2 linked regions of the Caenorhabditis elegans genome follow. The protein of the gene in region 2 interacts with the protein of the main gene of each other region in a pairwise test. Each region holds a gene or a part of one and is shown on either strand. Other genes may lie near its edges.

Region 1 (7,230 bases), on a different chromosome or scaffold from region 2:
CATCCGACGTTTGTGAGTGGAGGAAATCTGGAAAATTTGCGAAATTTCGAAGGATAAGTAGAAAAAACACTGAAAAATTGACCCAAATTCTGCAATTTTCAAGATTTTCCATGAAAAAATGTCTTCAAATTGAGAAAATTTGTGTTTTTCCATAAAAAAAACCGCGAAATTTCAATTTTACATCAAAAATCGAAAAAATTATCCAAATTCTGCTCAGAAAAGCCAATTTTCGAAGCTTTTCCATCAAAAAACTGTAAAAATTTGCAGATTGAGCAACCGGATAGGCAGAAGCTTCCAGATGGTCAACGTGTTGGTGAAGAAGTTGAATTGTTAGTTTTTTTTTTTTTTTGAAAATTTGAATTTTCAGGAAAAATGTGGATTTTTTGAGGTTAAAATTCTGAAAATTAAAATTCCGAAAAAAAAACTTCGGAAAAGTTCAGAAAAATTAATTAAAAAGAAAAAAATCCGGAAAAAATGTCTAAAATTTTTGAAAAATGAATTTACACAAAAATCTGAAAAAAAAATCACTTTAAAGAAATTTTTAATGCCAAAAAGTTTCAGAAAAATATCAAAAATTAAAACAAAATCTGTAAATTATTTAAGAAGTAATGAGTTTTCCAAAAAATTAAGAAAATAGTTTTTTTTTCTGAAATATTTAAATTAATTTTTAGGGATTTTTCAAAAATCTCAAATTTTCTATAAAATCCATAAAAATTCCCAAAAACTTCTCTCTAAGAAATCTATCAATTTCAAAATTTTTCAGAGTTTCCGGAGATGTGATGTTCGACGATGATATTAGTCCAGAAATGCGAGAAATGGTTGAAAATATGGAAAGAAAAAAGAAAATTAATTCGGAAAGATTAATGGAATTACTACAAAGAATACATCGAATTGATCAAATTTGTAAAAAAGTACGGATTTTTTTAGTCGAAATTGATTTTTTTATAGCTGATAATTAAGTAAATCAGAATTTTTACCTTAAAATCGTGAAAAAAATTGAGCCTAAGTTGAATATTTTGTACTGAAAAATTGGAAAATTTCGGCTTTAAATTTGAATTTTTCTGAAAAATATTATAAAATTTGCATTTTTCCAGAAAAATTGGACTTTTTTACTCAAAATTTTGATTTTTTGAAAGTTTTCAGTTAATCATTTCGAATTTTCCGGAAAACCTAAAATTCCAGTTTAAACTCAAAATTTTCACCGAAAACTTCAAATTTTTCAAATTTACCAAAAAATTGACATTTTCAGTGAGAAAATTGAAATTCCAAAAAAAAAAAAAAGATAAAAATCAAAAATTCACCGAAAATTTGAATTTTACTGAGAATTTCACGTTTTTTTGTAAAATTTTAAATTTTTGGAAAATTGATTTTTTTTTAGAAATTTTTAAATTAAAATTTAGAAATTTCCACTAAAAAAATCAAATTTCATTAAAAATTCATTAAAATTTTTTTTTTCACTAAAAAAGTTCGATTTGAACCAAAATTTTCTAATTTTCAGTTAGAAAATCGAATTTCAATGAAAAATTCCAAAAAATTCAAATTTTCAAAGAAAAATTTGACATTTTTGGCAATTTTCCAGCATTTTCATTTAACATAAACTGAATTTTTTACGAAACATTTTCGAAAGTTTCCAATTTTTACGGAAATTATATTCCAAATTTGCACTAAAATACGAATTTTTTTGGGAAATTCCAATTTTCTACCTAATTTTTCGATTTTTGCAGGAAGCTTGGCTGGAATCGTCGGCAGAAGTTCAACAACTCACACAAATTGCTCAACTTTTGCATTATTGTCAATAAATGTTAAAAAATATTTTCTTTAATTTTTTGATTTTTTAAAGGTTGCCGTACCTTTTTTCATACTTGTTCTAGCATTTTTCTGCATTTTTTCGAATTTTTAACCTAATTTTCACATTTTTTGCAGGAGTTAGGTTATCAATATGACGACGCCCAGCCGTAGACGTTTGATGAGAGATTTTAAGAAACTTCAGGTGAGTTTTGAAATTTTTGGCCCGAAAATTTGGCTTTCTTTGAACATTAGAGAACATTTGCAACAAAAATTGGTTTTTTCCAGAAAAAATTAGATATTTTTGGGATTTTTGATAAATTTCTCGTGAAATTTTTAAAATTAAAATTGCCAAAAAATCGCCGAAAATATCCATAAAAACGGCCGAAAATGTCCAAAAAATCGCCGAAAATTTCCAAAAAAAAATCGCCGAGAATTTTCCAAAAAAATTGCCGAATTTTCCAAAAATTCGTCGAAATTCTCCGAAAAATCGCCTAAAATTTCAAAAATATCGCTTAAAATTACCAAAAAATCATCGAAAGTTTCCAAAAAACGGTCGAAAAGCACAAAAAAAATGCCCAAAATTTCCGAAAAATCGTCGAAAATATCCAAAAGATTGCTCAAAATTACCAAAAAAAAAAAAAAAATTACCAAAAAAAATCGTCGAAATTACTGAAAAATCGCTCAAAATTTCCAAAAAATCATCGAAAGTTCCCAAAAAATCGCCAAAATTATCAAAAAATCGCCTCCAAAAAAATTGCCGAATTTTCCAAAAATTCGTCGAAATTCTCCGAAAAATCGCCTAAAATTTCAAAAATATCGCTCAAAATTACCAAAAAATCATCGAAAGTTTCCAAAAAACGGCCGAAAAACACAAAAAAATTGCCCAAAATTTCCGAAAAATCGTCGAAAATTACCAAAAAATCGTCGAAATTACCAAAAAAAAAATCACTTAAAATTACCAAAAAACGGCTCAAAATCATTAAAAGATTGCTCAAAATTTCCAAAAAAAATCGCTCAAAATTCCTAAAAAACTGAAAATTTTCCAAAAGAAAGGTTTCTTTTAATTTCCAAAAAAAATCGCTCTAAATCCCCAAAAAAACGACCAAATCTTTCAGGAAGATCCACCAGCAGGAGTATCAGGTGCACCAACAGAAGATAATATTCTCACATGGGAAGCAATAATTTTTGGACCACAAGAAACCCCGTTTGAAGATGGAACATTCAAATTATCACTGGAATTTACTGAAGAATATCCAAATAAACCGCCAACCGTCAAATTTATTTCCAAAATGTTCCATCCAAATGTGTATGCGGACGGATCAATTTGTCTGGATATTCTACAGAATCGATGGTCTCCGACGTATGATGTTGCCGCAATTCTGACATCGATTCAGTCGTTGCTCGACGAGCCCAATCCAAATTCACCGGCCAACTCACTTGCCGCACAGCTTTATCAAGAAAATCGACGGGAATATGAGAAACGTGTTCAGCAGATTGTTGAGCAGGTACACAACCCTGAATTTTGGATGAAAATCGGCGAAATTAGAGCTCAAATATTGAAAATTTGGCAGTTTTTGACCCGAAATCGAGAAATTTCACCCCAAAAATTGAAATTTGGCTGAAAATCGATAACATTTAAGTTGAAATACGAAAATTCTTAAATTTTCATCTAATGTATGCAAAATTTGGCTTTTTGTGGTTCAAAATCGTAAAATTTTACCCTAAATGTGGAAATTTAGCTGAAAATCGATGAAAATTGAGTTAAAATTAAAAAATTTTGGAATTTTTATGCCAAAACTGAAATTTTGAGAAAAATTAAACGTTTGGCTGAAATTCGGCTGAAAATAGGCGAAATTTTTTGCGAAATATGAAAAATCTGAATTTTTATGCCAAAATTGAGATTTTTTTTGCGAAAAATTGCTGAATTTTGGCTGAAAATGGCTGACATTTCAAGCAAAAATAATTTTTTTTTTTTTGAATTTTGCAAAAAAGAACCGAAATTTGAGGCTAAAAATTAAAAATTAGAAATTTTTGGCTTAGGTTCAGGCTTAGGCTTGGGCTTAGTCATTGGCCTGGACTTAAGCTAGGCCTAGAAGCCTAGGCTTCGACGAAGCTGAAAAAACACAAAAAAAGTTCCAAAAATTCTATAATTTTTTCCAGTCCTGGCTCAATTTCGGCGAAAACGAGGGCGACGCAGTGCTCAAGGATGACGTGGAAATTGAAGAAATTGCTGCTCCAGGAGCAAATGATGCAGACGATGACCGTATGGATGAAGGAGCCAGTGGATCGAATGCTTAAATTTTCAGGAATTTTTCTGAAATTTTTCTACCCCCAAAAATCATCTGAAATCAAAAGCTTTTCCCATCATCCCCGTAAAAGAAATTTCGAAAAAAAATCAATTTTTTTTTTTTGAAATTTTTGAATTTCCCCCCACATTTTTCTCTCAACACAATCGATCCCTTTGAAAATTTTTTCTTCTCGTTTATTCATTTTTTTTGTATTTTTTCCGGAACACTTTAAGATACGGTAGTTTTTTTTTGTATATATTTATACACCCCAGTCATCTCTCTCTCTCTCTCTCTCTCTCTCTCTCTGTCTTTTGTTGTTTACATAGATGAGGATTTTTTCCCGGTGAAAATTGGCTGAAAATCGGAAATTTTTGACCTTAAAAACTGAAAAAATTGTGAAATTTCAAGAAAAAATCACGATTTTTGACTGAAAAACAGCTAAATTTTGCGGATTTTCGGCCTTTTTTAGTGAAAAATGGCTAAAAATTGATATTTTTAGACCCAAAATTTGTGAAAATCTGAAAATTTCGACCAAATAGCTGAAAAATTTGTGAATTTTCGAAAAAATCATTTGGCATTTTTTAAGTCAAATTTTCACTATGTTTTTGTATGAAAATTCTGAAATTTTGAATTTCGATATTCCAACAAAATTTTCAGAGTTTTTAAGTTTTTTTTTGCTGAAAATCGCCATTTTTATACTCGAAATTTAATTGTGAAAATCGGAAAATTTTAGCCAAAAAATTATAAAAGTTGGAATTCTAACTCAGCTAACTTTCAAATTTTTGTCTGAAAATTCAATGTTTTTTTTTCGTCAAAAATCACCAAAATATTGCTCCTTTTTTGGCTGGAAATTCGAATTTTTCACTTTTTCCCCCAATTTTCATCATTTGCAAAAAATCCTCTTTTTTTTTCGTTTTCCCACGTTTATTAATTGATTTTTTTCGGATTTTATTGATTGATTTCCAACCATAATTGTCTTTTTTTTCTTCAAATGGCACCTTTTTTCTCTCTGTCTCTATGTCTCTGTGTCTGTCCCATCCCAATTCGTCAATTTTTCGACGTAAAAATGAATAAAAAATTTTGATGGCAAACTTTTTTTTGGAAAAGTTGCATTTTTTCCAAAAAAATTTGAATTCTCACAAAATTTTGTGCTCCAAAATCCGAAATTTGGAGCTTACAAGCCTACACAGGGGTCCAGAGCTTTAAAAATTCAAAAATTCAAAGGTTTTTGATTTTGGATTACGGAAATAAGACGTAAATTTCTGTTTTCACCAACATAATGGGACAGTAGTCCCCATAATCTAGTGGGTACTTCAAAAAAAGGTCCAAAAACTCGAAAATTGTAAGTTTTTAACATTTCCAACAAGTTTTTCTTACCAAAAACTTAAAATAAAAATAGTCTGCAGCTAGCGGGAATCGAACCCGCGGCCTTCTGCACCCCAACCAACTCTCTTACCGACTGAGCCACCGCGACACTCATTTTTCGAAAGTTTCTCAAATTTTCCACAAAATAGTTCAATCGACGCAGAATTTCACGCTGATCATTTTTGTAGTTGACAACTTTTTCCAAGCTTTCACCGTTCAATAGTTATGAGGGTTTAAAGTTTAGTGTGAGAAAGGGGGAGACGCAGACAACGAGACAGTCTGGGTCTCTCTCTCTCTCGTAGGTTCAAACTTTGAAGGCGCTTAACTCTGAAACTAGATTAGCTATCAAAAAACTCCCAACTATAAAAGTATCTAATATTTTAAGCTGAACAGCTTTGCAGTTAGCAAGTTTTTGATAGCTCTAACGAATTTCGAGTTTTCCACCAAAACCCATGTTTTCCCCCGACTGCAAAAACGCGCGCGAGTACGAATTCATTACTCCGATATATTCTCATAGTCCAAGAAAAATATTTGCTCATTTGTTTTCCGACGTGTTCCATCTTAAGAAAATCACATTGTTCTCGTATACGAGAGCAGGAGGTCGAATACAAAAAATAAAACGAGCGGCCAGGGGGAGAGTGACAACAACACAACCGTCGTGTATTTAAGAGGTAATCTGAAATTTTTTCAGATGCTGGAAATTTAATTATGTGAAGTTTTTAGTTTTAGTTCTAGTGTTTTGTAAAATTTTTCCGCTTATAACTTCAAAACCAGCGGAGCTATCAAAAAGTTTCTCATTACAAAATTATTCAGCTAAACGTTCTACACATTTCTATAGTTAAAAATTTTCTGATAGCAAGCCTAGTTGCAGAGTTACACGCTTTCAAAGCTTGGGCTTACGAGAGAGATAGAGGCTGAGAGAGACGCAGACTGTCTCGTTGTCTGCGTCTCTCCCTTCTCTCAAGCCAAACTTTAAACCCTTATAACTATTTAACGGTGAAAGCTAGAAAAAAGTTGTCAATTGCAAAAATTTTCACCGTAAAATTCTGCGTCGATTGAAGCATTTTTTGAAAAATTTGAGACACGGTGGCGCAATCGGTAACAGGGTTATCTATGGCGCAAAAGGTCGCGGGTTCAACTCCCGGTAGGTGCAGAGATTTTTCATGTTCAGTTTCTGGTAAGAAAAACTCAATTTTTGAATTTTTACAACATTTTTGAAGTACCCACTAGATTATGGGGGCTACTGGACGATTGAGTGGCGGAAAAAAAGAAGTTTCAAGACTTATTTCCGTAATCCAGAATCAAAAAACAAATATTTTTTGTAGAAATGCAGAATTTTGAATTCTTAATCTCCGGATCCCACGCGGGGAGCTTGTAAGCTCCAAAATGTTGGATTTTAAAGTACAAAATGTAGGGAGAATTAATTTTTTTTTTTTTTGAAAAAATTGCAAAAAAAAATTATTTAAAACCTTCAGTTTTTCAAAACTATTTGAAATTCTATCTATGACGCAGAAGGCCGCGGGTTCGATTCCCGGTATCTGTAGAATATTTTTTAAATTTTAGTTTTTATTGAAAAAAAATAGACTTTTTGGAATTTTTTGAAGTACCCACTAGATTTATGGTTCTTTTCTAAAATTCCCTCGATATGTGATCTACAAATTTGAAGACTAAATTCATAGTTTCTCATGACTCCATTTGTACCTCGTAACTCCAAAATAAAATTCATATGACGCCCTGTTTATGTCCTCGGCTTGTAACATTCAAAAATCACACTTTCCTAGATTTTATA
Region 2 (6,847 bases):
ATATCAAAATATTTCGAGCAGTATGCATTTCCTTATCATTTTTCAACTGTATTTCCTGATTTTAGCTTTTCATATTAATCAAGTAGGTTCATGGTTTCAATAAATTGTGGGTTAATTATAGATCTGCCTAATCTTCAAGCCAATGCCTTCTACGGAGTATTGCCAGTGTGGATTTAGTTTGAAAAGTATTCTAATAAAATACTCCAAAATTTTAAGTTAGTTTTGGCAAATTGCCAACATTTGGACTTTTTGAGCTATTTCCAGCATTGCCACAGGAACTGTCAGAATGTTTGAATACAAACAGTTGAAAATATAAAAATTGTAGAAAATTGTTTTAGGTCTACTTTCAAAATTTTTATAGGTTTTATTATAACTAAAATTATTATGACTAATTTTTCACCATAAAAAATTAATTGCAAATAAAAAATTTCAAAAATGTTTTGAAACGTTTTACTATTTTATTTGGACATTTAAGCACTAACGTGTTCAAAGCTGAAATTTCAAAACGTCATAACTTTGCTGAAACTTGACTTGGGCAGCTAAATTTTTCGGAGAGATCATAACTAACAGTCTTCTATCGGATATTCAACATGAGAACCCCAAACCTACGGGCCCCTTCAAAGATTTCCCTTGTGAATGGGCAATTTTAAATAATCTCTCCATTTACGATATTTCACCTTCAAATAAACAATGAATTATTCTAGATTACTTGTTGTCATTCAGTCAAGATATTCTCAAGTATTCCAAGTTCTCCATTGTTTAATGATTTTGCTCCAATTCTATCCAATTTCCCTTTGTTCGCTGCTTTAGTCCCGCCACCACCCCCTGTGCAAAGAGATAACGTGTGAGTGAATCTAATAGCCAGAATCTGGAAATATATATATGTTTAGAATCACAAAAGGAAAATGTGCAGGCGGGGAGATCAAAATCGAAACTGTATTTGTGTGGAACAATGCAACTATTGAGAGAAACATGAAGCATATGGACTACGAGTTGAGTAGGCTTCAAAAGTATTCAGGAATCTCAACCAACGAGTTTTGCCCAGAAATTACCAAGAAACCAGTGTAAGTTTCATTTTATTTTTTGGATTTAGTTAGATTTTTTAAATAATCAAAAACCGATTTCTTGCCGATGTCATACTGTAGACACTGTGAGAAGTAGGACTACCTCAATATTGATAAGTGCCTACCTATGTGCCTAGAAGGCAGGTGTGGCTTGCATTGAACTTAACAGTAGACGTAGGTCTCTTGAAGTTTTGCTTCCAGGCAGGCAGGTAGGCATTTGAATAATTTAAAGCTATAGTAAGGAGTACGGTAAATTACAATATCATTTCGTGATAAATTTCAGGCAAGATCGAAATCATTTTGCAATGCTCTACACCTTTCCTTATATTACGTCAACTTGTGATCGTGTCAGACTTTTTGTTCGAAATGCAGTTTCCTGGAGTTCAGAGGTCTAAAAATATTCCTGAAAAAATTATAATTCTAGATGTTCAGGTGAACCGAGCCCGAGTAGCATGCGAATGTGAAAAAATTGTGGAAATGACGCGTGGCTAACGAGGTACTTCTCGTCGCCGATCTTTCTCTTGACCAGGACCGAATAAATATTTGAAAATGCACTTATTGTTTGTTCTCAATGCCGAATTGTTTACAATGTACCTTTTGGTAAAGAGGAACTCGTTTGTACTGGCCAGCTAATAAAATATTCACATTATTCTTCATACTATGTTTTCATATAGAATTTATCAATTTTATAATTTAGATGATAACGAGTGCTGTACTCCTGGAGTCCACCAGGACTTGATAAGAGAATTGAAGCACCACTTTTATAATGAGCAGTACTAATTTCGAATCTGGAAATGATATTTCAGAAACAATCCAGGAAACACCAGAAAAATATCACCACTTTGAAAAATATGTGCATTTATTCAATTATGCTCAAATTTCAGCTTTGGCTCACGAGTGATACGGTCAACCACAATTTTCTCCAGAGTACGCAATTTACGCAAACACCAAACGATGGCGCCAAAGCGCCATTCAAATTTTATTCATCCGTTTCAGCCTTTTTCAGTCTTCTTGTCTCTCATTTTCGCCATTTTCATTGTTTTATTTACACAAACGGTCGTTTAAAATGTAGTTTCCATCTTTTTCCGATGGTTCATCATTTTTGTCATGCGTCTTTTGTGAAACTGGTTTTGCAAAACGAAGCAAAAAATGGATAACTGTGTCAAGGGCGATTTTTCGATTCGTCATGTCCACATAAACGCGATAATGTGTTTTTATCGTTGGTTTCATTCAGAAATTGGTTGATAAATACATTCTACTACATTCTGGCTGTGTGATCCAATTTTTAAATCCGAAAGTCTAGAAATTTAGTGCAAAATAAGCATGGAAAGTTCTAAACCCCTTAAAGAATACTGATCTCAGCTGTTTCTGTTCTTTTCAATCAGATTCCCAATTGCGATAATATCAAAAAGCCCTCTGCTGGACTGCTGTCCACCCGCAAGGGCATTATTTCCTTATCCCAAAATGCTCTCCGTCTGCATCTCTTCAACTCACTCACTCTCTCGCTCTCTTCGCAGTGCGAGGCCGACACGCAACGTGGCCTCTCATCAGACACGCTCCGCCTATTCTCAATGTGTGGCGACCGCCGATTGGCCAGTCGCTGACGTGGACCAATAGATACGCGGCACCTCGAGCCGTGTCAGCCACGCAAGACACACGTCGACTTACTCCATTGTCGTAGCAGACGAGCTCAGTTCAACATCATCAGTTTCAGTTTTGCTCTTGTTCGGTTTCATTTCTAGTCTTTCTTCTCTGAAATTCTCGAATTTTATTCTTTGGTATATTCTCATTCAATTTATCTCTTCTTTTTCCGATTCATATGTTTAATTGTTATATTTACTTTTTAATTTCAGATTCAACTTGGTGTCGTTTTATCGAAAAACGAAATGAAATCACTCTGCCTGTTAGCAATCGTTGCCGTCGTTTCGGCTGAAGTCTACTTCAAAGAGGAGTTCAACGACGCCTCATGGGAGAAGCGATGGGTTCAATCCAAGCACAAGGATGACTTTGGAGCCTTCAAGCTCTCAGCTGGAAAGTTCTTCGATGTTGAGTCCCGCGACCAAGGAATCCAGACCAGCCAAGATGCCAAGTTCTACTCCCGTGCCGCCAAGTTCGACAAGGACTTCTCCAACAAAGGAAAGACTCTTGTGATCCAATACACCGTCAAGCACGAGCAAGGAATCGACTGTGGAGGTGGATACGTTAAGGTTAGTATTTTAAATTTCTTGATGTGATAATTTTTTCGCATTAGTTTGTTAGTATCAAAACATGTTTCTCAATTAAAACAATATTTATTTTCCAGGTCATGAGAGCTGATGCTGACTTGGGAGATTTCCACGGAGAGACCCCATACAACGTCATGTTCGGCCCAGACATCTGCGGACCAACTCGCCGTGTCCACGTTATCCTTAACTACAAGGGAGAGAACAAGCTCATCAAGAAGGAAATCACCTGCAAGAGCGACGAACTCACTCATCTCTACACTCTCATCCTCAACTCCGACAATACCTACGAAGTCAAGATCGACGGAGAAAGCGCCCAAACTGGAAGCCTCGAGGAGGACTGGGATCTTCTTCCAGCCAAGAAGATCAAGGATCCAGATGCAAAGAAGCCAGAGGACTGGGATGAGCGTGAGTACATCGATGATGCCGAGGATGCCAAGCCAGAAGATTGGGAGAAGCCAGAGCACATCCCAGATCCAGATGCCAAGAAGCCAGAAGACTGGGATGACGAGATGGACGGAGAATGGGAGCCACCAATGATCGACAACCCAGAATACAAGGGTGAGTGGAAGCCAAAGCAGATCAAGAACCCAGCCTACAAGGGCAAGTGGATCCATCCAGAGATTGAGAACCCAGAGTACACTCCTGATGATGAACTCTACTCTTATGAAAGCTGGGGAGCCATCGGATTCGATTTGTGGCAGGTAAGAAACTTTTATTCTATTTTTCAAAAATGAAACTCAAACTTTATTTTTTCAGGTCAAGTCAGGAACGATCTTTGACAACATTATCATCACCGACTCTGTTGAGGAGGCCGAGGCCCATGCTGCCGAGACTTTTGACAAATTGAAGACTGTTGAGAAGGAAAAGAAGGAGAAGGCCGACGAAGAAACCCGCAAGGCTGAGGAGGAGGCTCGCAAGAAGGCCGAGGAGGAGAAGGAGGCCAAGAAGGATGATGATGAGGAGGAGAAGGAAGAGGAGGAAGGACACGATGAGCTCTAAGCAAATCGTGCACAGCTTTTCAACTCGCTTCATACAATCGCCCCCACTCCATCACAATTCCCCCGCATTCAAGTCTCTCCTATTCTCTCGGGTTAATTGATTGTTTTATTAATTTATTGAGCATCCATTTTGATGCTGGATAGCCTTTCTTGTTTTATAATAAAAAAATTTTAAAACCTATTTACGAGTTCGATTAGTTCAATGAATATAAAATACAGGATCAGATACATAGAAAAGCGATAAAAACCGGCACAAAATAGGAAATTGATATGTGATTCAATTAAAGTGATTGACGCAACTTCAGCCATTCTACAAGCCAATTGGGAAGCGTTTCCTCGCATTCGAGCATAAAAGAACACAGCTGCTCGATAATATTCGACATTGGTCCGCCAAATAAATGATGCTCATCGATGAGGACAGTAGCTCTTCCACCACATCCATCGCGACCAACTCGTCCGATTCTATGCATGTAGCTCGGAAAATCGGTGGACATTTCCATGATTATTGTCTGAAATATGTGACTTAAGATAAAAAATATTTGGGTCAATAGTAGCCATGTTTTTATCAATTTAATATATATGTAAACTTACCTGTTTCACAGAAGACACATCGATTCCTCTCGACATAATATTGGTACATACAACTCCATGAATGTTGCAAAACTCCAAATCATTCAAAGTGATTGCTTGTTGTTGTTTCAACACACTACTGCATACAGGTTTGAAATTATATCCCATCTGACGAAGTGCCATAGTTACCTGAAAATGTTCTCAATATTTTTAAAATCGAAAGAATAGGGGTAAAACCTGAATAACTCTTGAGACAGTTTCACAGAAAATTGCAATAGTATGCTTCCATGGGCCTTCTTTTGTGCTTCCCATTTCCTTGAGATCATCATCTAACAATTTACAAATAATATTCATCTTAACGATCCAAGGATTCGAATGGATATCATTTACTCGCTGTCCACCAATTCGAATAACTCGTTGAGTGATATATCCAGGCAATCTCGGACAATGGATCAGTGACCATGGATTTTCACCTAACATTCTTGATTGACGTGAAGTTAATGCAATTGAACCATCTTCGTTTCTGTTGTGAGACGCAGAAAAGAAACAAGATTGAAGATTTCTGAGCACATCCTCTTGTAGTTGGTCTAAAACCCAATCAATGTCATTTCCGAAGCATGCAATGTCAATCATTTTATCAGATTCATCCAAAATCATCATTTTCAAATTGTCAAGAAGAATTGTTTTATCCTCGATCGATGCTTTCAGCTTTCCCATCGTACAGAACGCAATATCGCATTGATCTATAAAGAATTCGTTTTTTTTTGGTTAGACGAATGCTGTAACGAACCTTTTGTGAACTGATAGCTAGCAACTAGTTTTTCAATTTTAATATCTCGAATAGGTATAATATCTTCCATATCTATCAAACCAAGAAGAACTTCACAACGATTAAAAAGTTGTTCAACGAGTGAGTTGGTATTTGCAAGAATAAGAATAGTTGGTGATGGCGTGGTTGAAATATTGGTAAGCAATGGTCGCTCCCTCAATGCAATTTCAATCGCCGGAATAAGAAACGCATAAGTCTTCCCGATTCCAGTTGGAGCATCCACTAGAAGTCCTCGGCGGTCACGAATAGCTTGAATTGATTTTTGTTGAACTGCATTCAGAATATGAACTTTTATTCGTTGCAAATTGGCGGCAAGTCGGTGATCTTCTATTGCATGTGCAACCATCCTCTCTGTTCCATAATCAGCTGGAGTTTCTACTCCGTCTTGATCCACCATTATCGTGTTCTCCTCACAGTGTTTATTCAATTTGTCAGTTTCAGCTTTTGAAGATGTGACTGCGCCCAACTGCTGATGACGATCTCTCATTGCTGAAGAAAAGTTATTGAAATATTTAATTGCCCAGAACATGGTTTACCAAAATAATAATCTCTAGTTTTAATAGATCTGAAGTTGAGTACATTTGCATACTTTGGAGGAACTAAATCAATGTGCTCAACTTGTACCCGACTATCGTCTAATGCATCGGCAGTGTTCCAAGGATGAGGCATCTACAAAGATTATTACAAAAATGTTTATATTTTGGTTTGAAAATAAATATTTGAACGAAAAGTAACGGTTTTTACGACACAATATTATAAAAGTAGAAATATAAAAAACGTTTGTTTACCCAAAAAAAAATACATGTAACAATTAAGCCAGAATGAAGATGATAACAAATTAGAAAATCATAGAATCAGAATTTAATATTCTTATGTGCTCGGTGTCTCTTTCGACAGGATCGCATAATCCAGACCAGAATCATCGGATGGGCACGTCACGTCGCTGTTGTATCCATGTTTGTGAAAGAAGCCGAGCGACGGTCCATTATACAGAAAAACTGTTGCCATGACTTTACTCATGTTTGTCCTGAAAATAAGAGTTTTTGTTTATTGGCTCTCGAATTAATTGAAACTGTACTTTGAAGAGAGCTTTTCCAGCGTGTCGAGCATCATGCCACCGATTCCTTTGTTCTGATAAGCCGGTACAATTTGAAGTTCCCA

What was found.
Region 1: the proteins of crt-1 (region 2) and ubc-1 interact in a two-hybrid assay, tested with the Caenorhabditis elegans proteins (2 studies listed by BioGRID).

What each region holds. Positions count from the first base shown.
Region 1 is NC_003282.8:4,101,097-4,108,326, forward strand, and holds ubc-1 (Ubiquitin-conjugating enzyme E2 1), read left to right. Parts: upstream 1-1,923; 5' UTR 1,924-1,939; coding exon 1,940-1,990; intron 1,991-2,903; coding exon 2,904-3,293; intron 3,294-3,948; coding exon 3,949-4,086; 3' UTR 4,087-5,167; downstream 5,168-7,230. Other genes in the region: C35B1.2 (SWIM-type domain-containing protein), read left to right, coding at 1-12, 268-329, 764-911, 1,725-1,799. UniProt on the Caenorhabditis elegans protein: Catalyzes the covalent attachment of ubiquitin to other proteins.
Region 2 is NC_003283.11:6,096,613-6,103,459, reverse strand, and holds crt-1 (Calreticulin), read left to right. Parts: upstream 1-2,917; 5' UTR 2,918-2,950; coding exon 2,951-3,271; intron 3,272-3,366; coding exon 3,367-3,990; intron 3,991-4,045; coding exon 4,046-4,288; 3' UTR 4,289-4,468; downstream 4,469-6,847. Other genes in the region: Y38A10A.11 (DNA-directed DNA polymerase), read left to right, coding at 973-1,064, 1,348-1,453, 1,497-1,556; smut-1 (Synthetic MUTator), read right to left, coding at 4,569-4,796, 4,879-5,046, 5,095-5,600, 5,648-6,175, 6,223-6,355; Y38A10A.7 (N-alpha-acetyltransferase 40), read right to left, coding at 6,557-6,713, 6,765-6,847. UniProt on the Caenorhabditis elegans protein: Molecular calcium-binding chaperone promoting folding, oligomeric assembly and quality control in the endoplasmic reticulum (ER) via the calreticulin/calnexin cycle.